7 linked regions of the Rattus norvegicus genome follow. The protein of the gene in region 5 interacts with the protein of the main gene of each other region in a pairwise test. Links are inferred from orthologs where the notes say so. Each region holds a gene or a part of one and is shown on either strand. Other genes may lie near its edges. The genes, in order: Sdcbp, Chtop, Hbz, Ncoa5, Khdrbs2, Prr3 and Rbm3.

Region 1 (4,048 bases), on a different chromosome or scaffold from region 5:
GGACTTGGGAGGGGGAGGCCAGGGCGGCAAGAGTTGATGGTAATGTGACACTCAGCTACAGATGAGTTTGAGGCCTGACTCAAACACCAAGAGAGAAAGAGCGTGCGGTTACTTTGTTTGCAGGCGCCCTGTTAAGCACTGACCGTAAGATGTGGCAGATGGTGTCCTTCAGGTTCGAAGTACTCCTAAGAATTTTAATTTACAGGTTTCCTTTGGGGGGGAAATGATTGCTGAAGTGTTTCAAGTGAAACTTTGAATAAAACTTCAGTTGTTAGTTTGTTCTGGGAAGTACTAGAATTAACATGTAAATAATATAAGAAAGATGTAGGCATTTTTGGTATTTGCTAGAATTTTCTTTTCTTTTCCAGGCTCAAACTGCCTCTTCTGCTAATCCTGCCAGCCAGGCCTTTTTTTTAAATGTGGTCGATTCTGCTGCCTTCCCTCCAGGTGGAAGTAAGTCTTCCCTGACACTGAGTCCAGCGTTCTGTCTGGACGTTTCGGTTTATGAAAGGACTAACTTGTTTAATCAAGAGTGATCTATGAGTATGAAGATGGGTTTGGGTGCATAATAAAATGCTTAGTTTGCCTCGTAATCCTTATCATAGTCTATTCATTAGTGAGAAACACTCCTCCATGGGACCACAGTTTTCCCAACTGCCGCTCTCTCACACATCCGGAGCTACCTCTTCCTTACTTTGCCAGGGAGCTCAGGGAGTTTCCAACTGTGTTCTTTTGGGAATTTTCTTTCAAAACTAAGAGTTGCTGTTCAGACTCCATAAACTATAATTTGTCTGCTTTCCATCCCGAATCCAAAGGCTCTAGGACCCAGCCGCTGTAAGACACTAAGATACAAAGTAAAGGATTAACTTAAGAGTTTCTGGCCTTTCATCTTCTCAGTCGCCCTCTCTTAACTTTATTCTTTGTAATAAATCTATTCTGAAGTCAAAACAGATCATAGAAAAAGATTTTGGAAGTAGCTCACTTCAAAAAATGTTAACAATTGTTAATGTTTAAAAATTCTGTTTGTCTTATTTCATTGGAATATGCCTATCATTCTTAAAGTGGTAGGACAGAGTAAATCACAAGCTCTGGCAGTGTCTCCTCTTACGTGAGAGGAGCCATCCCATCCAGAGTTAAGCAGCTGAAACAGTAAACATGTTGGGTCTTGTGAACTGGAGTCCCTGCCATGATCCCTCAGCGTCTAATGCATTAGGGCTATGTTACAAACCCAGAAGGTCAAGCAAGGTCAGTTATTTGGAAAATTATTTTTTACTTTTGAGTAGTTATCCCTCTGTGTCTTTTATTTCTGTCTCTAAATTCTATATTTGTACTGTGATCATACACAGTTTTTTCTTATTTTTCTTAAGAGAAATGCAGCAGCTGCCAGTGTTGGGTGGTATTGTATATGGTGAGTCTCCCGCAGAGGTCAAGCAGACAGGATAACCTGCACAGGTCTCCTGATGGCGAGACCACCTTCAGCCTTTAAGGTGTTGTGATGTAGCCATGGAGGGCCTCAGATTTGTGGCAGTCCTCCTACTTCTGCCTCACTAGTGGCGCTCTGGGCTTAAAGCCATGTTGCCACCACGGCTAGCTTGAGCCATCTTAAATGAGGGACTTGAACACCTGCAAGTGTGGCCTATGGTGGGTTCCAAAGTGCCTCATGGCCACAAATGGATGACTCACTGGGTTAGAAGGCTAAGACTGTTTCAGCATTAAAGTGGTTATGGACTTTTTCATTCTAATTGTGACAGAGATGGGAAGATGTCCTTCCATTTTATGCATGAAAAATAAGACACAGTAAGTCCATACTAAGTTGTTATTTTGCATATTCTGCCAATGCCTTTGTCTTTGTTTATATTAGATCTCTATCCTAAACTGTATCCAGAACTCTCTCAATACATGGGACTGTCTTTAAGTGAAGCTGAAATATGTGAAAACATGCCTGTGGTCTCTGGAGCGCCAACCCAAGGGGTATGTACAGTATAAGCTTGAATCTATCAAACGTACTTTATACAGGTATAAACTCTCATTTGTAGGGAACTCACCTATTTATAACTTTGGGGCTGAACTCTCCTATGATTATTAAACTCTACATCTCTGACCATTGTCATCCACTGTTGATTAGGTCATTGTCTCTCCTTTGTCTTCTGCGTTTTATCCTTCCCCTGACATGTTTCCAAGTTAGTTTTATCCTTTCTAGCTGTGTAACTACACTGAGGTTTGTAATTCTGACATAGCCCTACTAACTAGTACAGTTATTTCTTAACAGACCTCACAGCAAGTCTTGTTTCAGACAGTATTTCATTCCTGGCAGATTAGTTATTTGAAGTATATATCTGCCATATTATTTTGTCCACAATCTTAACATTCCTCCTCTTGTAATTAGAAACCATTTTTTTGTAGTTAGACTGAGATTTTAGGTTTAAATGTAACATGTAGCTTTTGCTCTAATTATAGTTACATGCTTCATGACTAAATCCACTTCTGTCCTCTTGCTACTGCTTAGTACAGAACCTGGCTTTTATATATTGAAATTTCAGTATTTATTGAAACCTTGTATTAGTTATGATTTGTACAGTGAACTCTTTGGATTTGCTAATGGAAGACACACACATGCACATATGCGTGCCAGCTAACTTTAAAATGCCTTGGCTCCCTCGAAGGCTGGGCACTACAAACCTTCCCCTGCTACCCAAGCCCAGTCTGGGAAGTGGCCACTCACCTGAATTCTCACATCGGCTTGCTTTCTTTTTTTTTTTTTTTTAAGATTCAAATTTTAATTTATTTTGCATGTATATGGACACAAGTGCCATGGGATGTATTCTAGCTTTCTTTTTTTTTTTTTTTTTTTTTTTTTAAGGTTTATTTATTTATGTTCAGCATTCTGCCTGCATATGTGACTGCAGGCCAGAAGAGGGCACCAGATCTCATTACAGATGGTTGTGAGCCACCATGTGGTTGCTGGGAATTGAACTCATGACCTCTGGAAGAGCAGTCAGTGCTCTTAACTGCTGAGCCATCTCTCCGGCCCTCGGCTTGCTTTCTTGTAGTTCCTGTGTCGCATCCTTCTATACATGGTGATCTCTCTTCTCTCCCGTGTATCCTAGCCTGAGCAACTCTCAGGGTTCTTCCCTGTCTCCCTTTGTCCATCTGTTAGCTGCTGGCATCATTATTGATGGATTAAAAACCAATTGAGGACAAGGACCTTTAGTGCTTGGACATGCAGATTCCTGATTGAATCAAAGCATTAGAACCAGTCTCCACCAGTATACAGCATATTACATATCAATTTGTGTACATTGTGAAATATTTCTACAATCAAGTGAAGCAATCTAACTATCACCTCCTAGAGTTACAACTTTTTTAGTATGTGGTTATAACACTAGCAAGTTTCAGTTGTAAAAATATTAACAGCCATGGTTACTGTGCTGTTCCTTCAGACTTATTTTTATTATTGAGAGTTTGTATACTTTGTCTGCCTTCCCATTTTCCCTCCATTCATTTATTGGCCCTGTCGAGCTCCTCCTCTGCCCAGCTCTTACCCCCAACAGGGCCTTCCTTCTGCTTCCTCCTGCTGAGACTGTATAGAGAGAGTTTACATAAGATCACACTGTACTAGCTTTTTGTCTCTGACATATTTCCTCTAGTATAATGTCTTCCAGGGTCAATCTTACTGTTCCAATGCCAATGTTTTTATGGCTTTAGTAATAAGCCATTGTGCATTTACAGACAACACTTTCTTTATTTAGTCCTCTGTTGACAGACACTAGTGTTTCTCAGCTTTGACCACAGTGATGAATGCTGCAGTGAACACGGGAAGGCGGGTGTCATTGGCATGGAGGGATTTTATTTCCCTTTTGGTATATACCTGCAAGGGAGATTGTCTGACTGTATGGCACATGCGTTTTTCACATGAGGCTCCTTGTTACTATTTCATAATGGTTATTCCAGATATGTTCACTGTCTGACAGTACACAGGAGTTTACGAGCACTTCTGTCTTTTTGATAGGTAATATTTGCTGTGGGGTCTGCTTGAATCCAACATGGA
Region 2 (4,716 bases), on a different chromosome or scaffold from region 5:
TCCATCTCCTTCTACAGGTCCAGAAGGATGCAGATGCTGTGGACAAGATCATGAAGGAACTGGATGAGAATGGAGATGGGGAAGTGGACTTCCAGGAGTTTGTTGTGCTGGTGGCTGCTCTCACAGTGGCTTGTAACAACTTCTTCTGGGAGAACAGTTGAGCACAGTCTCAGTAGGCAGCGCCCTCCCTCTTTGCTCCTCATCCCACCTGTATCTCCCTATGTACCCATCCTTGCCCAGGCTCAACATGCACCAAAGGCGCAACAGTAGCAGTCCAGATCTGCCACTAGTTTTAATAAAGCTTCTCTCTCACGAACTGTCAATGTCTGTGTCCTCTGGGTCTGACTCACTCTCAACACCTTATCTTGGAAAGTTTACACTAGATCTTACTTAAGGAACACTCAAAACCCAGAATTGTAGGGACCCAAAAATTTTAGCTGAAATCCAAGTGTTACTGGCTCTTTAAGGACTTGTATCAATAATTGGTAATAATGCCAGCTCTTGGAAGGATGAGGCAGAAAGATTTTGAGTTCCAAGCCAGCCCATACTACATACCCAAATCTTGTCTCTAAAAACAGAAACAAGCCATCAAGAAACCTGGAGAAAGCTAGAAATGGTTTCTACCATTAGATACCATGGTTACTTAATCTCAACACCTGGGAGGCAAAGGCAAGAGGATTTCTGTGAGTTCAAGGCCAGTCAGGTCTGTATAGAGAATTCCAGGACAGCCAGAACTACATTAGAGAGACCCTGTCTCAAACAAGCAAACAAAAAAAACCTGAAGAATTTTTTCCCAAGCTTCATTGTTTATTGATGTACCATCAATGCTAGACATTATGTAATAATTAGGGGTTCATTAGTGGGGATACAGATTTGCTTTACTGTATTATGTGAGGTGAAAAGACCCACCCTAAAACTAGCCACATCTTCTAGCAGCAGTCCCTATAAAAGGATGCAGAATCCAATGTGGATCTTCAATCCCAGTACAGTGAGGGGGGAGGGGGAAAGTGAGGAGGGAAGATGAATCTTTGTGAGTTTGAAGCTAGTTTGGTCTACACAGAGAAATCCTGCCTCAAAAAGAAAAAAACAATACAAATAGGGATGAGAAGAGGGCCAGAGCAAATCAGCGAGGTTCTAAGGTCCTAATAAGATTTTACTTTTGGTCTTTAACTTGGGAAATAAAAGAATATAAACACTGCTTCCAATCTAAGCTGCTCTCTGCAAACCAAAACCCCAAACAAAGTAGGGCATAAACTTGTCCTGCAGGTAGTCAAGATACCTAGCGATTGTGACCACTGACCACGCCCCCAAGGGCGGAGCACTACACGTAACTTAAGGGATCTTTGCCAAAGTCCGTAGGGATACGCCTGCGACTCCTGCGCAAGCCAAAGGGCCCATTTTTCCACGCCCCTAGTTGCGCGCGCAATGACGCAAGCCCGTCGGCGCCATTTTAGCCGGTCACGCTGCACTGGTGGGCCTGGCGGCCATTTTGTTTTGGACACCAAGCGGGAGTTGGCGGCGCCGGCTGTGGTGGCACAGACGAAAGGCAGGAAAAGGCTGGCTTGACGAGCGGGAGGATCAGTCGGCTAAATACTCAACCCACAACAAGGGAGCCTCGCAACCTACCGTTTAAGCATCTAACCCAACCGCCCAGCTAGTTAACCCGAGCGGTCCGCCGTCAGCTCGGGTTCGGCCGGCCTCCGGCCCGCCCGCCGCAGCCGTGGTGGCAACCCCGGGAGGAGCGCTGGCGTCCATCTCCTTCGGTGAGTTTCTGTGGTGAAAGCAGAGGTGGAGCGCCGAGGGGGCGCGGGACATGGCGCGGACGGCAGGTGCGGATGGGGCTGAGGTGAGCAAAGGCCGGGGGAGGGGGCGGAGCCGGGAGGCGGAGGCTAAGCCGGAACCGCGGCCAGCAAGCGGGCCAGCAGGATTGTTGGTGCTGGTTTTGGTTGGCTTGTGTGGTGGTGGTGGTTGGTGGTGGTGGTTTGGTTTTGGCCCCAAATCTAGTCTCTTGCTTATGTAGATAAGCGCCCTCCATCAGAGCCCAAGCCTCGCCCCAGAATAGCGTTTGATGGGAATAACAACGGAAATAAGCGCCTGACCAAAGTCTTTTGAGAGGCTTTGAGGTGGAGGTTAAATGAGGAATACAGGAATTAGCGGCGGCTCTGGGTGTTCGTTTTTTTTCGGCACCGAAATTGAATCCAAAATTATGCTCTGGCTAGTCTAGCGCCCAGAGTTAATATCCCCAGCTTTAAAAATAATAATAATTTTAGTTTGAAACAGGGTCTCAGAAGTCACTTAGGCTCGCCTTTAGCTTGTGACCCTCTTGCCTCAGCCCTTCCCAGTATGTGCCCCTACAGTTAAATTTTGTGGAGTTGCTCTTGACAGAGCTCTCAGATTGAATACCCATTGAGAAAACCTTTTCTGTCATTCCCCTGCCATGTCTTTCTAGAGCTCCACTTGCATTTGGAGTTGAGAATCAGTTTTGAAACTTGGCATTTCTTTTGAGTGTGTGAGAGTCGGAGCCTCATAATGTGACAGTGTAACCCTTGATGTCCTCAGCCTGTTACACCACTCCTCTGTTGCTGCTGGGAATTGAACTTAAGGCTTCATCAGTGCTAGACAAGCACTCTATTGCTGAGCTGTATTCCCAGCTCCTCCATTTCTCTAGATTTGTGGCCCTCAACTTTCTGTAGACATGTAAGATGTACCTGGGTAGGTAGCACCCCTAGCCCCAGTTGCTGTACCCCATCGTCATGGCCAGATTGTAGTTTAATTGTCTGGATCCAGACATCAAAAATTTAGTTTGTTTTTTTTTTTTTTTAAACATTCCTCAGCTAAATCATATTCAGCCCAGGCTAAGAACTATTCCAGATTGAAAGCCAAACTCCTAGGCTTTGGCTACATCTGATTCTGCCATTTTGTTGACTTTGGCAGATGTTCTCCATCCTGGGGCTCTGAAATTTGATAAATGGAAATAACTGTCATCTAAACTTAAGCCCCCACCCCATGGGGTTTCTCTGTAGCTTGGCTTGTGTCCTTAAACTTGCTCTGTAGACCTGGCTAGCCTCGAATTCACAGAGAGCCACCTACCACTGCCTCAGGAGTGCTGGGGCTAAAAGTGGGCACCACCACCACATGGCAAACTTAAGTTCTCATGACACCATCTTCAGCAGTTAGTAGTATAGGCCTCTCATGGGTTTATGCCTCGATTCTTGTGAAAATGCAAACTTCATTATTTTGATTGACTCATTATGCATATTGTCCTTTGTAGATTCTCGGGATTTGAAGATGGCTGCACAGTCAGCGCCGAAAGTTGTGCTAAAAAGCACCACCAAGATGTCTCTAAATGAGCGGTGAGGCAGCCAACAGCAACTTCAGCTCCTTCCTAAGAAAACATTACTTAAATTGGCCCTGGGGTCCAATACAAAAAAGCCAGTTGTAAGCTAAATGACAGAAGGCTACAGACTTCTGTTCTTAATTGATTGCATCTAATGTGGTACAAACAAATTGGGCAGTTGTTTCAAAACCCCTTATCAGTAGATTTTTATATTAAGCTATCTGACATATTGACCTGGTGGGATATATTTTTTTTTAAAAGACTCCTCACACCTTCCCTTCGATTTTTCTTTTTTTCCTAACATTGATACAGGGGTGGTGCAGCACGATGGTATGGTATATCCTGGCTGCATTCGGCTTGCTATCTAGTCCAAGGCCAGCAGTGTTGTGTCTGGCCTGTAAGAGGCAGGTAGCAAGCCAAAACTATGTCCAAAGGCCCCTGAATGTCATTCTTGGGCCTTGTAAGAGGCACTTGCTTTGCTCCATTTCACTTTCTTCCCATTCTGCTTTTTAGTTTGTTGTGTTTTGAAATCTTTCAACAGCTGTGTGTTTACTTCCATTAAACTTATTCATTACAGGAATGTTAGAATGCCCTTTTAGGCTCGTAAGTGACTTAACTAATTTAACCTTCTCAGAGAAGTCCTGAGTCAGAAAGAATGGTTATTTGAGATTTAAGAAAAGTTAAAGTAGTTAAAGACAGTTTTTGTTTCTGAGAATTTTATTTGGTGTCTTTCACCATTTTATTATGTTGTTGCTAGAACAGCCAAGGCATTTAATGCCTGTGTTTGCTTCTAAAGCATGTGTTTCTCTACTCATCTTTTAAGATGTGTTATATTAATTACCTGTATTTGTGTGTTACTGAGTAACATGTTAGAATATAATGACATTCCATAATTCACGTGTCTCTGTTATTTCAGTGGACTTTGAAGGTGCTCTGATCCTTTGTCCTGTTTGTCCTTCGAATGAACTTTCAGTCTCCAAAGGTGTAGGCATTTCTGTTTGTCTTTGTAACTGCATCTCTGTTTCTTGTCATATTTGCTTAATGCGTGTATTTCATACTTTCCACTTCTCTAAGAGATGTTACCTGAGCCCTTGTTATCGCTTTTAATTGTGCTGCACTTGGCTGCATTTCTGAGTTTCTGGTTCTTGCAAGTTTGTGGAAACAGAGGAGTCTTTAACCCACATCAGCCTTGATCCAAATGTACCACTTTAAAGTTCGTGGGATCTGGAGCTCCTGGTCTAGCAAGCCATGAAAATGCCAATAAGTGTTTTATAATAAAGCTTTTATTTAAACACCCATTTTGTTCGACCTTGAAGCTTTACTAATATGCTGAAGAACAAACAGCCGATGCCAGTGAATATTTGGGCTTCGATGCAGCA
Region 3 (3,749 bases), on a different chromosome or scaffold from region 5:
GTAGGGCAGCCATGTGGTTCCCCCAACCTTAACTGCCAAGCGCCCGGTGGAAACCTCAGGTGAGCCTTGTGCCCCACATCCCTGACAGGGTAAGGCTGGTCTTGGCTTGCTTCCTGGGGACCACCTGCCATCTCCATGCAAGTTGCAGTTGCTCCCCTAAATGTGCTTGGTGGCGGACAATCAGAAGCAATGTGGCACACTCTCGGGGGTGTTGAGTTTGGCACAGGAGTGGAATGCTCTAGGGGCCACAAGGATGAGCCTCTTCATACAGCGCTCCCACACATGGCCCACCCTGATCTGCTGAGCTTAGCAGGAACACAGAGCCCAGCCCCTCTGCATGTCTGCAGAGACATGCCTAGAGAGAGGCCAAAGGATGGGGCTTCTGTCATAGACTCAGTCTTGCGTATGCCTTCCCTTTGAACTCGCAGAAGCTGTAATTACTCCTATGAAGGCAGTTACTGGAAAATTGTTATCCTTTAGGGACAGGCACACCCCCTACCTGCTTGGGGGGCAGAGTTGTGAAGTTGTAACATCGGACTTTAAAGAATTCCTGACATCCAGCCACCACACTGTGTGAAGCGATTTGGGAAGATGAGGAGAACTCCAGCTGCAGCTGTGACTGTGGGGTGCTCTGCTTCCTGCCTGCTCTGACTCTGGGGTTCTCAAGATCCTCCCCCAAACACCTTAGGAATGTCTTCTTTTTTTTTTTTTTTTTTTTTTTTTTTTTAATGTAAAGCTTTATTTTTTTTTTTTTTTTTTTTTGGTTCTTTTTTTCGGAGCTGGGGACCGAACCCAGGGCCTTGCGCTTCCTAGGCAAGCGCTCTACCACTGAGCTAAATCCCCAACCCAGGAATGTCTTCTAGTCCGTGTTTAACTATAGTGTTCCTGCCAACCCCCGGTGCATCCTGTAGCATCCCCATCCCTGTTTCCCTCTGAGACTGAATACACAGGACCAGTTATTTCTTTCGTCAACCATTTATTGGGGATTCTGGGAAAGACCTCAGGGAGGGTTCAATGAAGGGGAGGAAAGAGGTCATAGCTGGTCTTGGACTCGCGGCGATGGCACTTAGCGGTACTTCTCAGTCAGGACAGAAGACAGGATGGACATGAACTTGTCCCAAGCTTCGTGGACCTCAGGGGTAAAGTCGGCGGGGAAGTGTGCAGCCAGTGTGACCAGCAGACAGTGAGACAGGAGCTGCGGAGGGAAGGGAAGTTCAGTGCTCAGTGCAGCAGAGACCCAGCCCACTTTTCCCCTTGTCTCTTTCTCTGCTGACCTCTCCCTCCATTCTCACAAACTCACCTTGAAGTTGACCGGGTCCACACGCAGGATGTAGGCGTGTAGCTCGCTCAACTTAGTCAAAGCACCAGAGAGGTTGTCGATGTTCTTAACCGCATCACCCACAGCGGCCAAGATCTTGGAGCCGTGGGCACGCAACTGCTGAGACCCATGGTGCAGGTCGAAGTGTGGGAAGTAGGTCTTCGTCTGGGGGTAGCTGCTGAAGAGCCTGGGGGGGGGTCGGGAGAAAGCGTTAGTTTTACAAGTGTTGGTTAGGGGAGGCTAACCAGGCTCTTGCCTTGGGCTCAAAATTCAAGGTGTACACAATTTAAAAGACCTACGAGACAGAAAACAAAATAGTATTTTACACAGTGTTTAAGGAAACGAAAAAAAAAAGTACGTTGAATAATACAAAAAGCATCTGGAGAGAAGGCTCAATGGTTAAGAGTATTTACCGCCCTGAAAAGAGCTCACAGCTAACTCTCTGTAACCAAGGTGCAAGGGGATCTGATGCCTCCACTAGCACCTATTCTCTCTCTCTCTCTCTCTCTCTCTCTCTCTCTCTCTCTCTCTCTCTCTCTCACACACACACACACACACATACACAGAGTAAATAAATCTTTTCAAAACAGCCCCAAGAATGATGTTTCTATTTCCTGTTATCCAAGGCTTCATGTGGCTAGGCCCTGTATCTCCTCTCTGTCTGTAGCTGGTTCATTCATCCATTCATTCCTATTCATTCAACAAATACCTGAGGAGCCACATGGAAGACTCTGAGGTCTGTGGTTACCAGTCCACCTCTTCTAGCAGCTTGTCTGCCTGCCCGGACCCCCTCCCCAAGAGCATGGAACTCACGGTCCTCTCTACATTTTTTTCTCTTTGCTTCTGTCCTTAAGGTCCTGACCACACCTCATGACCTCTCTTCAATGACTTCTCACTGTCTTCTCCTTGTCATTTTGGTCTTACCCGTCCCTCTTCTGACCCATTTACTCAAGCCGTGGTGCCTGGACTTACCTCTCCAGAGTCTCAGTGCCAATGGGCTCTGCATGAGGCGCCATTTTGTCCCACATGGACATGATGATAGCTCTCTCATTCTTCATCAGAGACATGGTGGCGGCGGTAAAGGCTGGAGGCTGTGCTAGAGCTGAATGAACTCAAGATTGGCCTGATGGTGCTCGGCCACAGTGTCTCCTTATATACACATGGTCAGGGGCCTGTCAGGCCATTGGTTAGGAGAGGGGAGGGGGCTTGCAGGGTGGAGCCTGTTATCAGAGCCAGCAACAATGGGAATCAGGGCCTGGTGGGACTGTGAGGGCAAGTGCTATCGTCCCTGCCCAACCCCCCATGGCCTTAGGAGGGGTGTTGGAGTACCACACAGAATCCAGGAGAGATAGGGGCCCAGCCATGTCAGGAGGTCCCTTCCTGTGTCCAGATCTGCACTGTCCTTCCTCATTTCAGAATCACAAAATTGTCTGTGCCATCCCTGTCACCTAGTTTCTGTGACTCTTGGGTTCCCTCCAGGGAAGCAATAGTCCCTCTCACTCACTCAGCACCGAGGGAAGATCATGGAAGTCCGCTCCCACCAGGAGGAAGGGACGGGTCAACAAAAGAAAACGGTCTTCAGCATAGCCCTCCATTCCAACCAGTTTCCAACAAAACGCACGACTCTTTTAGTTTGACCTGCGGTTGGGTTGCTTTGTTCACTGTCCTGGATCCACACAGATGTAGTTCCACCATTGCCACAGCCTCCACAGCCACCCATTTGAGGCCTCCTCTTCCTCTTGCTCCTAACCCAAGCCACACTAATTCATCGTTTCAAAAAAAAAAAAAAATGCGCCCAACTGGAACCAGACGGCGTTGTATTCTTTTAAGACTGGCTTTCTTTCCCCTCGCACAACGTTCTGCAAACTCGTCGGCTCCCGCGTTTATTGGCAGTGGGCTATTTTTCATTTCGTGGTGTGAATATACAGCAGTTTATCCTCCGTCCACATCCCGAGAGAGGTCTCTGAGTGAGCACAGAACTCCTTTCCTCTACACCCGTTTCTGTAGATTCATCTGTATCTGACGGCAGAAGTCCTGGGAAATGCAAAGTGTACATTTAACTTTATAAGGAGTTTGACACACTGCTTTCACGAGTGTCTTTACTGTCCTATACTCCTATGTATCAACAACAGCGTCTTCGAATCCTAGCTGTTTGACAGGTAAATAGCAATATAGCATTGTGGCTGAAAACTGCGTTTTTCCAATGGCCAGTGATGGAAGATCTGTGTGCCTGTTTGCCACAAGCTTACTGCTCAAGCATTTTGCCTACCTATAAAAGGTACCTTGTACACGTTTCAGCTGGGCCATTTTCTTAACTAGTGGTTTATGGGCATTCTGAATGTGATCTGGATGCATTATTTTTCGGGTTGGGGGAGGGTCAGATATGCTTTTTTTGCAAATACTTCTAGGTTTTCATTTCCCAGTTCGTCTT
Region 4 (4,048 bases), on a different chromosome or scaffold from region 5:
TTAAAAAACAAAACAGAACCTAAATAAACAGACAAGGGGCATCCATCACGGCTCCTTCCCAGGAGGCCAGCAATACTAGATTACGCCCCAACAGCTCAACTCCAGGGAGCAGAGCTCGGCAGTGAGTCAAGATCATAGCTGCCAGCATCGTCAGCGTGCATGGATTGTGGGAGAGCCAAAGGACGGCTCGTCCCTTGCCCACCCTGGAGAACCCTGGGCATGCCACCCTCCCAACAGAGCATGGGATGAGAGAAATGCAGAGTGAGAACTTCACCTCGGCCCTGCCACGTAGCTCACCAGGCAGAGAGTCGGCGCTGCTCCTCAGGAGCCGCTCCTTCCGCTCTCGCAGGTAGTTGATGATCTTGTCAGTCTCCTCTGCAGTGAGGTATCTGTTATCTGCCAGGAGGTTGATGAGGCTCTGGATAGCTGGAGGGTGCCCCCCGCGACCCCCCTCCTCCGGGCCTCCACGGTCTCTTTCCTGGAGGATGGCGTCATTAGCCATCTTGGCCGCCTGTCGGGCGATCTCCTCGCGCTCCTTTTCTCGACAGTCGTTCTTGTAGCGCTCATAGTTCCTGGCCACCAGCACCATGGCGTCTGCCTGGGGCATGTTTCGATGCTCTACAGAAGGGAGCGACACCAGTCACTTTCTCAGACCCACGACACATCCAAGTGCTCACTGCTGCACTCAGTCTCAAAGCAGAGAAGCACTGCAGTGCCAAGAAGTCTTGAACCTAGAGTGAGGTGGGCTGAGGGACAGAGCAGCACTCTTCAGTGTGGGACACACCTTCCTACAGAGCTGTTTCCTCAGTGGATCACAGACCTGTGGTAAAAACCCAAGGAATACAAAAGCCTCCCACAGAGCCAAATAGGCCACGTGGGGAGCAGCACACAGCAGCAGGAGGCCCAAGAGTCTTGTGTGAAGCCTGGCTCTCTGCTGTGCTCCGGGCAGTCACTATGGTTTTAATTCATCAGTTCAAAGGTCATGGGTTAAGACCAACCATCTCTCCTCAATGGGGCAACAGTCCTATCTGAGGACACGTCTTGGAACCTTACATGAACATCTACACACAAGCTAAAGACAGCTCCTCAGAGACAAGCAATTTACCACACCCTGTGACTATGGGTGTGAAAGCCAGGACAACAGAGCACAGGCAGGTGGAAAAGGGGAAGTTAGGCTTAAGAATCATAGACAGGGCACAGATGGCTGGCTGATTTCCTCTAGCGGAAAGAGCCTCTCCTGCCTGTATAACCCCTCTACTTGCTTTTCTAGCACACTGGCAACCAGCAGCCTGTCTGTGAGAGTCTCATCCCTGGGAGCTGCATTTTAGGCAGCAGATGCCTAAGTCAGACTTCACTGGGAGCCAGGTCCCTTCAGTGATGTCCCACTGATGGCTTGAGATGGGGCATGGTGGAATTACTCATACTTGGAAATTGTACTCACTACTAATCAGTCTGCCTCTCCACCATAGCTGGCTGTTGACGGTTTGCCAACAGGTCTAGAACAGTATCAGAGAACACCACAGAAAAGATGAAAAGTCTTTTCCACAGCAAAGGAAGGGAAAGGAAGGGGCTGCCACATTGGAACTGGAACATGTCAGTCATTCCTCAAAACCCACTTCTCACAGGCAGGGCACAGAATCTGTGCTGGTGACTACCTCTGGGAATTTGGACTACTTAGGTCTCTGTACCTTGTGGAGTTCCGAACATGATGTTGACTGTGCAGGAACGGTGAATCTGGTGCTGCTGGGTGATGACAATGGCAAAGGGAGACCCTCCCCTGCTGACATCCTCCAGTGCTTGTGAGAGGGACACCTCTGTGTTGAGGAAGATCAGGTCCACAACCATGCCCAGGTCTCGCACCTTCCTCCCCACAGACTCCGCATAATCTCTATGAGAACAAACAGGATCTGGGTGAGCACTCCCTGGCCACGGCTCAATCTGTAATTCTGGACCTCAGCCAGCTATGTCTCCTCAGAACTCAGACTTAAGTCCACCCAGTACTATCTTCAGGTTTCTAAAATAATTTTTTTTAATTTTTTTTTTCCTAAAATAATTTTAACTGTGCTTCGAGCACACGGGAAGTTGCCGTAGGATGGTACTCAAACTGCCTCCTCCCCATCTCATTACCTGTTAAAGCTGACTCTGACTGGACACTATTGCTCCCAACCAGCCTGTTTAGACCTTGGGAAGGTAGCATTTTGTTCCCTACTACTTTGGAAAGCAAGCCCTGCGGAGGGTACTTCCCACTAAGTTTAGCTTAACAAGCTGTTACCAGAGAAGGATTTAATCGTTACAGCATGAGGTAACTGGACACTAGACAAAGTACCATTGCTTTGCATGGATGCTGGCCATCTGTCTCACTTAAAGGAAGGAACTGCAGCTCCATCCTCGCTCGCACGCCACCCAGAAGTTTAACACTGCCCAACCCCCACGCTCAGAAAAGATACTATACTATCAGAAGGAATGAGGGGGCATTGAACATGTGTATCAGTGTCTTCTGGTGACGCCTGCCTGCTGCTTCCACGTGTCATCCATGAGGTCACTCCAAAGGACACTTGCCACAACGGTGCTGGTACTGTCAGCAGTTGGATCACACTCAACAACAGGGAGTCTGAACATCCTCTAGGGCCTTCTAGACAGCATCCAGGGAGCTTCCCAACTCGAGTCACAGGATAGGAGTGCAGTTCCAGACGCTAAGTAGCCAGGTCCTCCAGAATTGCCTCTCCTGACGGCCTCTGCCTACTTCCTGTCTTAAGGTCTCAAAAAAGGAGTGATCAGGAATATGTACATGGGGTCTTGTGCTATCTTCTAGTCCCCAAGGCTGAACTGTCTCTCGGGTGTTAGACCTTTAAGATTCTTTTCACATTTGCTGTCTGCCCGTAAGTGACTGCAGCATGCAGATGTCACCGAAAGACCTTTGACCTCTCTCCTAAGATGTTTTTCATAATTTTGCTAAGTTTTTAAACCTGGTTTTCTCTTCCTGTTTATCTATTTTCTCAAAGTCCCAAGCAGTCTGATACATCTTCCCCTCAAAATCCTTCGGCTATGGGCCACAGTGCTCATCAAAGAGCTGTCATACAGATCACTCCTGAGCCACTGCTTGATGCGATGGTGCACAGAGGGCTTCCTGTACGAACACACGTGTTTCTAGTTTTCTTCACTCTCATCTTTACAAGAAACAACTTTGTGGTATCATAAAAAGCATGAAGGCATCTGACTCGGATGGTCTTCACCCACTCTGACTTAGAGGTTTTCAAAACTGCTCATAAAACTTGTTGTAGTTCTTTTTATCCTCTACCAGTCTGTTTATTACATTTAAAAGGTTTCTATTCATATGCCTGCACACGCACACACACACACACACACACACATGCACACACACACCCGTGTACCCTGTACCTCCTCGTGCCCCAGGAGGCCAGACGAGGGCACCGGATCCTCTAGGACTGTAGCTAGAGAAGGTGGTCAGCCCCCATGCAGCGCTGAGAATTGAACACAGCTCCCCCAGCAGGGCAGGCACTGTGTGTCCGTAACTGTTGAGCTCCCTCTGGTTCTTCTGCCAGTTTAATGAACAAAACGTTCTAAGCATGTTTTGACCAAATTCTTTCTGATAGCTTTCCAAATTTTGCTTTGATGCAACATTTCATAGGAAATACTTAAAAGAAGGAGCTCCTTGGAATCCACAATGGTGCTCCTGTGCTATTGAGGAGCTGCTGACGTGTGGTTGTGTAGCCCACTGTTATCCCCAATTGCTGGTGAATCCTAAGGAGAGGATACCCTGCATCACTAGGATTTCTGCCCCAAAGAAGCTTTGATTTTATCAAACTCTTCTCTGTGTTTTGGTTTTCTGAGACAAGGGTTCTCTGGATGGACAGACTTCATTTACCAGTGTACTTCTCCATCGTCCTTTTCTTCTGCCTCTTCAATGGAACCAGCGTTGTGCATTATGGGTCCTAGTAGACCGTCTTCCTCCTTCTTTCTCTTCCTTATCCTTCAGCCACATCACCACCAATGCTCATACTCCTTTCTTCATGAAGAGAGTAATGGG
Region 5 (4,048 bases):
TATTTCTAACTTTTTAAGTTGACATTTATCTGCCTTCATTAACATGATCTTATGTGCTATTTTGTATCAGCCAGCACCTGACATACTGTCACATAAAAATCATTAACTATTCTAAAGTACTGTGAATGTTTTATTATAAATAATATTCAATTCCATCCCTTTTTAATTATACCTTTTGTACTAATTATAAATTTTCAAACTACATGTCAAGGGCTCAAAGCAGGGAAATGTGGCATAAATAATGTATCTTTGCTTGTTATTCTTATTATTCTTATTCTTCCTGGCTGTGGACTCGTGTATACTATATAACTGGTTGGTGGTGAATACTTTTGTCGGAATAATCTATGCATAGATAACTAATGTGCAATGTGAAGTCACTTTCAAAAATCAATGGAGATCAAAGACACAACTTAAAATAGAAACTGATAAGGAACCATTTGTAAAATCAAAGTCACTTACAGGAACCAGGAATTTTTTAATCTCTTCCAAAGCATGACTCATCCGTGAGTAAGCTTCCCCGGGTGGAGCAAACACTTCAATTAATACGTGCAGTTCGTCACTCAGGTGGGCATACTTGGCCTCCCCACTCTTCCTCAGCTCTTCTTCCTGTAAAGAAGTTATATTTAGAAATATGGATGCACTCATTTTACATTGATTTAACATTTCCTGAGAATATGACAAAGGGCCATAATCTAAGCAAATTTTCCAAAGGTGGAAAGAAATTCTTTGAGAAATAAAACTTCACTGCAAGTTGGTTAACCATTTTCAAATTTGGATATTTTTTCCCTTTTCATTTTTTATTGGATATTTTTTATTTAATTTCAAATGTTATCTGCTTTCCCCCACCCAACCACCCACTCCTTCTCACCTCACCTGACATTCCTTACACGGGGTGGGGAGGGGAGGTTGTCCCGCCTTGATAGGACAAAGGGCTTTTCTTCCCATTGGTGCCCAACAAGGCCATTCTCTGTTCCATATGTAGCTAGAACCATGGATCTGTCCATGTGTACTCTTTGAATGGTGCTTTAGTCCCTGGGAGCTCTGGTTGGTTGATATTGTTGTTTTTAACGGGGTTACAAATCCCTTCAGCTCCATAATCCTTTCTCTAACTCCTCCAATGGAGACACCATTCTCAGTTCAATGGTTGGCTGCTAACATTTGCCTCTGTATTTGTCATGTTACGGCAGAGCATCTCAGGACACAGCTATATCAGGCTCCTGTCAGCATGCACTTCTTGACATCATCAGTGTTTTCTGAGTTTGGTGGCTGTATATGGATCCTCAGGTGGGGTAGGCTCTGAATGGCTATTCCTTCAGTCTCTGCTCCAAACTTTGTCTCCATGTCTCCTCCTATGACTATTTTTGTTCCCCCTTCTAAGAAGGACTGAAGCATCTGAAGTTTGGTCGTCCTTCTTGTTGAGCTTCATGTGGATTTTGAAGAAACCTGCCATTGTCCTCAACCACACAATTTTTAATCAGTTTGATGAAATGTTAACCTCATGAAGCCAAGGCATCTAAGGGCAGTTTCTGGAATGATGTTTCTGGAAACATCATTGCATTTTTGGGAGAACAAGGTTCTTTCCTGTCTGGTGTAAAGTACTTTTCGAATAATAAGTAGATTTTCATTGAGTTGTACAGGAACATCAGAGTTTTAATATTAGCTGAAATTACATGAAAGAAATGGTGGGAAACAAGGTTTCCTCTTTCAGCCAGTTCCCCCGTTGCCAAAATTATCACAGAGAAAAAAAAGAAAACCAAACAGACTAACAAAAAAGTTAAACCAAACCAATACCGTTAGAATTTCAAATTGAACAAACTTTGCTTAAGAAATAAAGGGGGCTCAAAAGCATCTTTAAAAATAATCCCAGTCAAAGTCATTAGGGAAACAGAAATAAGGTCTAGTTTAAAAGGCCATCTTATTCCAGTTTGAATGGCCATCATTGTGAAGGTAATGCCAACCCTGCATATGTGGATGTGATAAAGGTGGAATGGTTTACACTTTTGATGGGAGTGAAAGCTAGTGTAGCCACTGTAGAATTTAGACCAGAAGTTTCTCAAAAACTAGAAGTGCCATATGGGCCTATACTCCAGGGCATACACGCAAAGACTTTCTATCTTTACAGAGACACTTCAACTGCCACTCTCTTGTCACTAGCTAGAAATGTACCTGACCTAGACATTCATAAACAAGATAAGAATGTAATAGAAATATGATATATATATATATATATATCACTCAGCTGTTATTGGAGACCAAAATAGCCCAATGTTCAGGTAACTGAATAGAACATCAATAGATCCTAATATGCAAAGCCATGAAGGACAAAAAGCAGAGGTTCCCTCTTGTAAGTGGAATTCTCACTTCAGACTTAGTGTTTGGCATGTGTAAGTTGTATCCCAGGCAGAAGCCAGAGAAATTAATAGAAAAAAGTTATTGGCAAGAGACATAAGTGAAGGAAAGGAATAGGAGATTGTAGATCAGGATAACTAAAGAGGTGAATGCTATGTGGGGGTAGAAAGACTCTGGCAGGCAGGAGTATCATCATGTGGAGGAGCTAAGAGGTAGGGAAAATATATATATATATATATATATATATATATATATATATATATATATATATATATATATATATACTATGGAAGAGAAGAGAGGTACCTGCAACTAAAAGACAAAGTTGGGCGAGGGGGCTGGAGCAAGAAGGGAGAGGAAGTTCTTGTTTAGAATAATCAATGTTAAAGATATATTAAAAGGTTTTATGGAAACTCAATGGTTAAGTGGTTCCAAACTACTAAAAAAGGAGGCCAGGGACTGGAGAGATGGTTCACTGATTAATAGCACATACATACATCACAAAACAAAATTATAGGTGTTCAGTGGTACCCTGCATGTGTGGACAGTGTAGTTCCAAGAATGCATGGATTACTTTATAAGATACATTTATTTTTCTTTTATATGTATGTGTGTTTTGTCTGAACAAATGTATATGAAGTTTATGCCTTTTGCCCATGAAGGCCAGTGAAGAGGGTATCGGGTACCCTGAAACTGCAGAAACTGGTGGTTGGGTGCCATTGTGTTCATACTGGATGCTGAACCGAGGTCCTCTTCAAGAGCAGAAAGTGCTCTAACTGCTGAGAACCAGCCTCAGTGTAAGGAGGGTCCTGAGAAGGGGATATGGGAGCAGCGGTGATTCAACAATGACCAGGAGTCAGTTGTGGAAGCATTCAGTCAGCTCAAGGGCTCGCTCTTTACCTGAGGATTCTCATCATTCTTGCCTCTCCTTTCTTCCTTCTCCCTTCTCATCCTTTGCCTTCTCCCTACCAGAGAGACTGAACCCAGATTTTTTTAACCAAACCTACATCATCAAGGTTTGAATATTGTTAAGGATTTTTTTTTTGGAAATCCTTAAATTTACTTAAATTTTATGAATCCCAGAGCCCTGCTTCCTTAAAACAGAAACTAAACTCAAAGCAAAAGCACATTTTCTTATAGTTTTACACAGTCTACTCTTCACAAGTAGCTGGGCACAGCTCTTGAGGTTTCTTGGTACAGCAGACAGCGGTCTTTAGTAATCCCCTTCATGTAAAAACAGAACAGTGATAGACTACTAAGATTAAAATAATCTCTTACAAAATTTTAAAATTTATGCACTTAAAGCATGCAGCTATCTTTAATATCTCCTTCAATCTAAATTGCCATATCCTGTCTTCCAGGAGAACAAAGCACTAACTTTTTATTTGCTTGTGCATCATCTTATAATTCTCCAATCCTTGATTCCTATCCTAGCAAACCCAGAGCTCCATGTACTCTCTTTCTAATAGTATTTATTTCTAGATCATATATAAGCCTTTCTCCTATAAGACAAGCTCACCTATCATTTGCTTGCATTTATAGATTTCTTCTTTTCCTATCCATGACTTTTCATCTTGAGACTCTCGTCCCTTGATGTCCCCAAGTTCACCCTGGCTAATGACTGTAGCAGTCATTGAGGCAGATGGTACAAGCATCTCCTCCTAATTCCAAATTCAAGTCCAAGTCTGGCAATGAACCA
Region 6 (2,797 bases), on a different chromosome or scaffold from region 5:
AGAAAGCAAATAAGTCCAGCTCCACTTCTGGGTTTATAGTTACAAGAAATGAAAGCATAGTCTTTGGAGATTTGAGTTTTTGTTCGACTTTGTTGGGTTTTGGTTAATTTATTTATTTATTAGCAACAGGGCCTCGTTGTGTAGCCTTGGCTGTTGGGAACTCACGATACAGACCAGACCAGACTGGCATGCAGAGAGAATCTGCCTGCCTCTGCTTTCCAACTTCTTGGATTAGGCAACACCAGGCTTGTCTTTTTGGATTTGTTATGTAGCCCAGGGTGCCATCAATCTAACAAAATATATGCACTCAGTGGAATATTGTTTTGTCTTAAAAGGAAGAAAATGGCATTAGTGCCGCATCATGGGTGGGCCTGAGCACACTGTATTAAGAAAATGGGCACATGAGGGTAAACACATGAGCTGTCGGGAGTCAGACTCACAGAACAATCAGGGTGTGAGTTACTAGGGCTGTTAGAGATGTAAAGAAAGGGGTGGTTAGAGGTTTCTGTTTGGTCTCTGGTTTACAGTACAGGGCCCTGGGATTCTGTTTCCCAACAGTTACTTACAGTATTGAATCTTACACTTAATAGTTGAGGTGAGTCAGGCTGACAAGATGGCTCTACAGGTAAAAGTGCCTGCCCCCAAGCCTGACAACCTGACTTTAATCCTTGGCCCCAAGTAGTACAGGATCCAAACTCAACGACTTGTCTCTCTGTCACACATGCAGCACGATACCTGTACACACATCCCTAACACCCACATATGAGATCTAAAGTTTTAGAAATCTATTTCTTCAGGCTAAATATAAGTGGATTGCTGTTAGAGAGGACCCGAGGTTCATTTTCAGCGGCCCACGGTCTAGTGGAAGTAGGCAGCAGACAGGGCTAGTTCCAACACCCTTTTTTGGTCTGCAAGGACACCACACGCATGTGATATGTGAGCATACATATTCTTGTTTCTCACATACAACAAATGAACCGAATGAGAAAGGCTGACCCTTGGAATGCTTGGAAGCTGTAGCGCCCGCCACCTCTGAGGGGGCTGTATAAGTTGATACACCACTAAGATTAAAATTAAATTAAAAGTTAAGATTAAAATTGATTACACTGTTCTTACTGAGCAATTCCTCTGCCACATGTAGTCTGAACAGAAACTTATACTACACATAGAAATGTTCGTAGCGGGGCTGGGGATTTAGCTCAGTGGTAGAGCGCTTACCTAGGAAGCGCAAGGCCCTGGGTTCGGTCCCCAGCTGTGAAAAAAAGAAGCAAAAAAAAAAAAAAGAAATGTTCGTAGCATTGTTTATTGTGGCCACACACTTAATACCCACATGTCCATCCTCAGTAGAGCACATAAGTCCGTGTAATAGGATGCTATACTTTTTTTTTTTTTAAAGATTTATTCATTTATTATATATAAGTACACTGTAGCTGTCTTCAGATACACCAGAAGAGGGCATCAGATCTCTTTACAGATGGTTGTGAGCCACCATGTGGTTGCTGGGAATTGAACTCAGGACCTCTGGAAGAATAGTTGGGTGCTCTTAACCGCTGAGCCATCTCTCCAGCCTGGATACTATACTTTTAAATTTAAAAAATCATCTACTACTGGCCCAGACAAGTTGACTCTCATGATTATCAGAAGAGCCCAGAGTTAGAGCCAGGAAGATCCACAACCTGTCATGTTAGAAGTCAGGATGGTGGCAACTTTCCAGGAGAGGAAAGGCCATATAGAAGGATGGCTTTTCTGAGGCTGGAGATTTAGCTCAGTAATAAAGAGTAGTCAGTTGCCTAGTATATACAAGGTCCTAGGTTCAGTTCCCCACACCAGGGGCTAAAAAGCGCCAAGAAAGCGTATCTCTGTGTATGGGCAATAGAAACCCAGGGGAAGAGGTAGTAGTTGGTTTGCGTACTTAAAAGCGGTGTGTCAGGGGCTGGGGATTTAGCTCAGTGGTAGAGCGCTTACCTAGGAAGCACAAGGCCCTGGGTTCGGTCCCCAGCTCCGAAAAAAAGAACCAAAAAAAAAAAAAAAAAAAGCGGTGTGTCAGAGAGCTTTGCTGTATGTAGTGAGCAGGGGAGGGGCTTTTGTCAGGACTGAGGGGCTTCTGCCCAGCAATCACCTCCCTGTCTTTCTCTCTGTAGTTTTCCACAGGGGTCCTCCAGGATCAAGGGGACCAATGATTCCACCACTGCTGAGTCTCCCACCTCCTCCCCGGGGTAGAGGCCACATTCGGGGAGGCCTTGGTCCTCGGTCTAGCCCATACGGTCGTGGTTGGTGGGGTGTCAATACTGAACCTCCTTTTCCTGGGCCAGGCCATGGGGGTCCTTCTAGGGAAATCTTTTACCAAGAGCCAAGAAATCCAAGAAGGCTCAAAAGCTGGTCTCTTGTCAAGAACACCTACCCACCTAAGGACAGCCCCCCGATGATGGAAGGTAAGGCCCACTTTGTTATGTTTGTGCCGTGGCCTGTATACCAGCAGGCCTGGGAATCTTCTCCTTTAGGCTCTCACTGAGCAGCACTGAGAATTAATGCAGGGCCTTACCTGTATTGAGGAGTCCTCTAGCGCTGAACTACCAGCTTCTTAGCTGCCTCAAGAGGTACCAATAGCCCTGAACACTTTTCTTCCCTCAGAAAGACTGTCTTTCCAAAATACTTGGTGATCTGGGAGTCTTGCTCAGTGATTGAACAAGGTGTGCATCATGCCTGAGGCCCTGTGTTCTATCCCTAGCACCAAAAGTAGAAAGAAAAAGCCAAAATACTTGTAAACAGTATATGGTAGAAACCTTGGCTTTCTCTC
Region 7 (4,609 bases), on a different chromosome or scaffold from region 5:
GGACGATCCTGGATCAGAAGTGTTATTCCTTGTGTATCTGAGAACAGTAAGAACGGTACAATTTTGATGTCAGGAAGAAACAGGCTGATAACATGCTAACCTCCCAGAGTTGATAAAGACGCAGCACACCAGACCTCTTTTATTTCCACCATTCCCCTAGAGATTACTTTCAGAACATCCCCCACCCCTGCAACTAGTTCTGGCATGCATACGATAGCAAGAGCAGGGGAGTGGAGGCTGACAGATTGGCTGGAAGGCAGCAGAGATAAAGGGCAGTGTGGTGAGAAAAAAAGCAAAAGGGAAGAGAAGAGGACCTGATGAACACAGATTGACAAAGTGCCAATATTCAGGTCTCACCTACATTGTGTGCATGCCCCATCTCAGTTGTCATAATTGTCTCTGTAATTTCCTCCTGAGTAGCGGTCATAGCCACCCTGGCTTCTGGGAAAAAGCGATGTTGTTTTACAAAAATGTACCCTACTTTGTATACGTTACATATTAAAAACTATACACGTCAAATTTCATAATAGTGTGTTCACAATATAAATTTTAGCTAGTTTTTGTGATAATGGAAATTATATCCATGAGGTTGGCACATGGTGGGCACAGGCAATTGACCTTTGATATATCCAGCCACACAAAACTTTCAAAAATGTATAAACAGACCACATCAAACATATGAGCCTCATGTAAACTTCCCATTTCCAGCTAAACTATGTATGAGTATTAGGCTACTGAATTCTTAAGAACACTGGTACCTCACTATCCCAACCTCTTAGTACCCACCTGCCACTGTAGTCTCTAGACCGCCCATACCCATATCCATAGCCTCCAGGTCGGCTGTCGTATCTTCCACTTCCATATCCCTGGTCTCCACCACCTGCAGAAAAACATTGAAGTAACAGCTGTTCAGACATACGCACCTAACAAATTAGACGGCTCTACCTAAAGTCATAATCAAACCATGACTGCACTTACCTCTAGAGTAGCTGCGACCACGCCCATGGGCCCCAAAGGCACCCCCTCTGGTTCCCCTGGCAGACTTGCCTGCATGGTCCACACGGATTTGGCGCCCATCCAGGGACTAGGTATGGGAAGGAGACAGATACAAGGAAGTGTTGTCAGTCAGTCAATGTAGTGATGAGGGAAGAATGGGCATAGGCAGGTAGGCAAAAGCCCAGAAATTCTTGCTGGGCACCAAAATCTGGGTGCCATGACCAAGACAAGCTCCTCTGACCAAAATGGCTTCACCAGGAGCTACAGAATCCCACAAAAGGACCTGAATCCACCGTGCTCCCCTGCTACTACTTACATCTTGACTGAACTCAGGCTGAGTTCTCCTCCCCACTCCTCTAAGCTGCCCGACTATTAGGGCTAGACGCCTCTCTTGGTTTGAGGCTTCAGAGTCCATCCCAGCAGACTCACGAGGTCCTCTCCGGGCCAGGCCCACAGGTCTGCAGACTCTACTACCTAAGCCCAGAGCAGGTCAACCATCCACAGGTGGCTTCTCGGCCTCATGCAGGACCAGTCGTCGCCTCCCAGGCAGCCCGGCTCTGTCTGCCGCTGCCCTCCACCCCCTAGAACAGAAGGCAGTCATGCTCCTGTGAGTGGACACTGCGGGGCTTCTTGGCCACGCTGCCCCTGGCAGACATAGAGGGAAAACAGAAAGAACGAAGAAAGTGGCAGACAGGGAGAAGGCCCCTCTGCAGGCAGGAGGCCTCACCTCTCCATTCATGGCTCTCATGGCATCGGAGGCATGCTCTGGGTTTGTGAAGGTGATGAAGCCAAAACCCCGGGATCTTTGAGTCTCCCGGTCCTTGACAACAACCACTGGGGAGGGTGGGGGAGAGGCAGAAATACATATGTTAGAACATTAAAGTGGAAGGCAATAGCCTGCCAAGCAAACCAGGCACAGGCACAGCCACAGCAGCACACATCAAATAGCGCCCCCACCAACTCCTCCTCCCCCAGAAAAAAATCCCGTATCCCATTGTATTTTTCTCAGCCTAACTGTACCTCACAGACGCGGAAGGCAGAATTTCAGGTTTTAGTCCTAGACTCACTCTTACCCACCAACCCTCAACCTGGGGGCTGATCCATGGCTCACCCTCAGAGATAGGCCCGAAGCTGCTGAAGTGGTCTTCAAGTGCCTGCTCATCAGTGTTGAAGTTGAGCCCTCCCACGAAGAGTTTTCCTTCTTCAGAAGACATGGCAGAATCCAAGTCCTAGAGGGAGAGTGTAAGGAATTTTGGGGGGTCGATGTGGCAAGTGGTGAGGTGTAAAACACTCGGAGACAGAATTACGGGGAAACACAGAGAGTGAGGAAAAAAATAATTCAAATAGCAAGGGGCTCGGGAGCAGAAAAGGCGGGAATCAGCAAGGCCGGGTGAGCCCATCCGCCATTTGATGATTACTACCGCGCATGCCTACAACATCTCAGGCCGCCACGCCCGTCATTTTGTATGGTCGCGCAGGCCTACAGCAGCATTGCATTTCCTCTTTCCCCGCAGAACAAGATGGCGGCGGTCACGTGGGAAGAGACAGCCGATATAGGTTGGCGCATGGTCCCTACCACCGCCGCCGACCCGGCCCGTGCCTTCCGGCATCCCTCCCGTTCAGATGCAGCACACCAGCCTCACAATTAAGAGATTTTTGCCTTCGAGCCTGGAACTAACCGACCTCGGAGCTCAAGCCTACATGTCGGCGGCCACTATTCCTACTCTCTCGTCCCTCGCCCCTGAAGGGCAAGGAAGTGAGGTGGGGGATGATCACTGGGCAAGATAAACGCACTTACCTGGAAATTAAAAGTCAGAAGACTGCAGAGACGACGAGCTCTAAGGAACCGGGAGAACAGAGAGACTGCGGCGCGGGAAGACGCCTGATAAAGTGTGCGTAGCGGTGACGACACAGGACGTCCCCCAGCGCGCCCTGGCGTGCGTGCTCATTGGTTGAGGCCAGCGGCGGGGGCTGGGAAGAGGGCGAGGAAGGCGGAGGCAGCAATTTGCCTTACCTCTTCCGGGAATACAGAGGAACTTTATAAGTTTAGTGTGTTCTCATGCTAGCGTCTCTATTCTGGCTGAAAGACTGACCCCCCTTTCCATCTCAAACGGTTGAATCCATATAGCCTTTTTCTCCCTGACGTCATTTTCAGTGTCTTTGACGTCATTTCTCCCTTTCCATAGGAAGTCTTAATTGACAGTAGATCGGTGCCAACGAACTGCCATCCTCAGAAACCAATCTTCTTTTCTTTTAGGACTTTAACCGCATATCCCTTAAGGGTCCAAGACCTTCAGCGTTCTTCATGTCAGACCTTTCATTTCCAAACGCTTAGCGCCTATCCCTAACATCTAGTCGTGAGCTATGGGACTCCTTCCCTTAGGTCATCCTCTGACTTAAGCTCGCATCCTTATCTGACAGTCTCTTTAAACCTGATATGCGTTCAGCAATACAGGTATCCTAGCTTCAAAGGGTGCAAATCCAAATCCACAAAATGAATTTTGCTCTCTATTTAGGATACTGGCCCTTGAGTCAAAGGATGAACTTTTGCAATACATAATGGAATCCAAAGCAAGTAGTGTCTAAGTCCACCGTCTGACAATTGGATCTTTCCCAGCCTTCAGTGTTTAATAATAAACAAGTGTTTGCTTCCATGGACTCCACATTTTTCGCTCCTAGAATTAATTTGTTTAATATTGACATTGTAAAGGCCTGTCCCTGACTCCCCCCACCAACCTCACCACAGATTTGCTAATCTTCAGATGCTATTCATCTACAATTCCTGCTAAGCTTATTTCCATATTCTCAGTGATTTTCATGGACTTTCAGGTTATTAAATTTTATAAGTAGTTATCTTTAGTTGAATACATTTATTTTTGTTCTAATCTTTTCTCACCCTATGGTCTATACCTCACTGTATGTTCAGGCTACTTTGGAACTCATAAACCTTTTGCCTTAGCCTCTTCAGTGCTGGAATCTCCACAACCAACTTGTCTATATTTTTAAAGAAATCCCCCCCCCGGTGCCCCAAGTTCCCAAAATTCTCTTCTGCAACTTATATCTGTTAGCTGCATAGTTCTGCTTTTAGTTTAAGGTCCTCAATCCTTGTATAGTGTTCAGCTCAGTGGTAGAGTGCCTTCCCGGTATGTGTAAGTCCCTTGGCTTATATCCCAACAAAGAGGAGTGCTGTGTTCGGTTTTACTGTGCCATTGAACCAGATGTCTCATCACCATCTATCAGGAAACTGAGGCAGGATTGTGAATTTAAGGCTTTAACAGGTTCCAGGCTAACTTTAGCTAGCCTGTGGTAAGACCCTATATTGAAATAAGCAAACAAAAGTAGGACAACTTTTGGAATTGCATTTAATGTAAAGAGTTGAGACCAGCGTCATATCACGTGTGGTTTTAAGGTCCCATTAGGCTTTGGCACCTTAGTTGGGTATGACAACTTAGAGCAGTAATCCTAGGCTGAAGGGGAGGCTGAAGCAATAGGATCTTTCATTCAAGGCCAGCCTGGACTACCTAATTGTTTACACCCCACCTGCCAAACTCCCAAGAAAAAACGCCAAATGAATTGGAGCCTAATTCTCTTGCACCTTGAGTATGGACTGGAC

Evidence for each region.
Region 1: the proteins of Khdrbs2 (region 5) and Sdcbp interact in binary tests that used the Homo sapiens proteins (3 or more experiments, as listed by UniProt). The two-hybrid records come from large-scale screens. The link is inferred for Rattus norvegicus from reciprocal best matches to the Homo sapiens genes KHDRBS2 and SDCBP.
Region 2: the proteins of Khdrbs2 (region 5) and Chtop interact in binary tests that used the Homo sapiens proteins (3 or more experiments, as listed by UniProt). The two-hybrid records come from large-scale screens. The link is inferred for Rattus norvegicus from reciprocal best matches to the Homo sapiens genes KHDRBS2 and CHTOP.
Region 3: the proteins of Khdrbs2 (region 5) and Hbz interact in binary tests that used the Homo sapiens proteins (3 or more experiments, as listed by UniProt). The two-hybrid records come from large-scale screens. The link is inferred for Rattus norvegicus from reciprocal best matches to the Homo sapiens genes KHDRBS2 and HBZ.
Region 4: the proteins of Khdrbs2 (region 5) and Ncoa5 interact in a two-hybrid assay, tested with the Homo sapiens proteins (2 studies listed by BioGRID). The two-hybrid records come from large-scale screens. The link is inferred for Rattus norvegicus from reciprocal best matches to the Homo sapiens genes KHDRBS2 and NCOA5.
Region 6: the proteins of Khdrbs2 (region 5) and Prr3 interact in binary tests that used the Homo sapiens proteins (3 or more experiments, as listed by UniProt). The two-hybrid records come from large-scale screens. The link is inferred for Rattus norvegicus from reciprocal best matches to the Homo sapiens genes KHDRBS2 and PRR3.
Region 7: the proteins of Khdrbs2 (region 5) and Rbm3 interact in binary tests that used the Homo sapiens proteins (3 or more experiments, as listed by UniProt). The link is inferred for Rattus norvegicus from reciprocal best matches to the Homo sapiens genes KHDRBS2 and RBM3.

Annotation. Positions count from the first base shown.
Region 1 is NC_086023.1:24,300,931-24,304,978, forward strand, and holds part of Sdcbp (syntenin-1), read left to right. Parts: intron 1-368; coding exon 369-453; intron 454-1,861; coding exon 1,862-1,971; intron 1,972-1,977; exon of another isoform or gene 1,978-4,048. UniProt on the Homo sapiens protein: Multifunctional adapter protein involved in diverse array of functions including trafficking of transmembrane proteins, neuro and immunomodulation, exosome biogenesis, and tumorigenesis.
Region 2 is NC_086020.1:178,287,110-178,291,825, reverse strand, and holds the start of Chtop (chromatin target of PRMT1 protein), read left to right. Parts: upstream 1-1,477; 5' UTR 1,478-1,763; exon of another isoform or gene 1,764-1,846; intron 1,847-3,271; 5' UTR 3,272-3,288; coding exon 3,289-3,353; intron 3,354-4,653; coding exon 4,654-4,716. Other genes in the region: S100a1 (protein S100-A1), read left to right, coding at 18-161. UniProt on the Homo sapiens protein: Plays an important role in the ligand-dependent activation of estrogen receptor target genes. May play a role in the silencing of fetal globin genes.
Region 3 is NC_086028.1:15,847,323-15,851,071, forward strand, and holds Hbz (hemoglobin subunit zeta), read right to left. Parts: upstream 2,436-3,749; 5' UTR 2,386-2,435; coding exon 2,291-2,385; intron 1,506-2,290; coding exon 1,301-1,505; intron 1,196-1,300; coding exon 1,067-1,195; 3' UTR 957-1,066; downstream 1-956. UniProt on the Homo sapiens protein: The zeta chain is an alpha-type chain of mammalian embryonic hemoglobin.
Region 4 is NC_086021.1:174,157,689-174,161,736, forward strand, and holds part of Ncoa5 (nuclear receptor coactivator 5), read right to left. Parts: intron 1,889-4,048; coding exon 1,689-1,888; intron 619-1,688; coding exon 298-618; coding exon of another isoform or gene 275-297; intron 1-274. UniProt on the Homo sapiens protein: Nuclear receptor coregulator that can have both coactivator and corepressor functions.
Region 5 is NC_086027.1:42,152,212-42,156,259, reverse strand, and holds part of Khdrbs2 (KH domain-containing, RNA-binding, signal transduction-associated protein 2), read right to left. Parts: intron 607-4,048; coding exon 460-606; intron 1-459. UniProt on the Homo sapiens protein: RNA-binding protein that plays a role in the regulation of alternative splicing and influences mRNA splice site selection and exon inclusion. Binds both poly(A) and poly(U) homopolymers. Phosphorylation by PTK6 inhibits its RNA-binding ability.
Region 6 is NC_086038.1:2,800,434-2,803,230, forward strand, and holds part of Prr3 (proline-rich protein 3), read left to right. Parts: exon of another isoform or gene 1-2,141; coding exon 2,142-2,432; exon of another isoform or gene 2,433-2,797.
Region 7 is NC_086039.1:17,019,175-17,023,783, reverse strand, and holds the start of Rbm3 (RNA-binding protein 3), read right to left. Parts: upstream 2,880-4,609; 5' UTR 2,795-2,879; intron 2,226-2,794; 5' UTR 2,211-2,225; coding exon 2,108-2,210; intron 1,836-2,107; exon of another isoform or gene 1,831-1,835; coding exon 1,724-1,830; intron 1,578-1,723; exon of another isoform or gene 1,412-1,577; coding exon of another isoform or gene 1,313-1,411; intron 1,085-1,312; coding exon 979-1,084; intron 881-978; coding exon 787-880; intron 442-786; coding exon 381-441; 3' UTR 362-380; exon of another isoform or gene 358-361; intron 38-357; 3' UTR 1-37. UniProt on the Homo sapiens protein: Cold-inducible mRNA binding protein that enhances global protein synthesis at both physiological and mild hypothermic temperatures. Reduces the relative abundance of microRNAs, when overexpressed.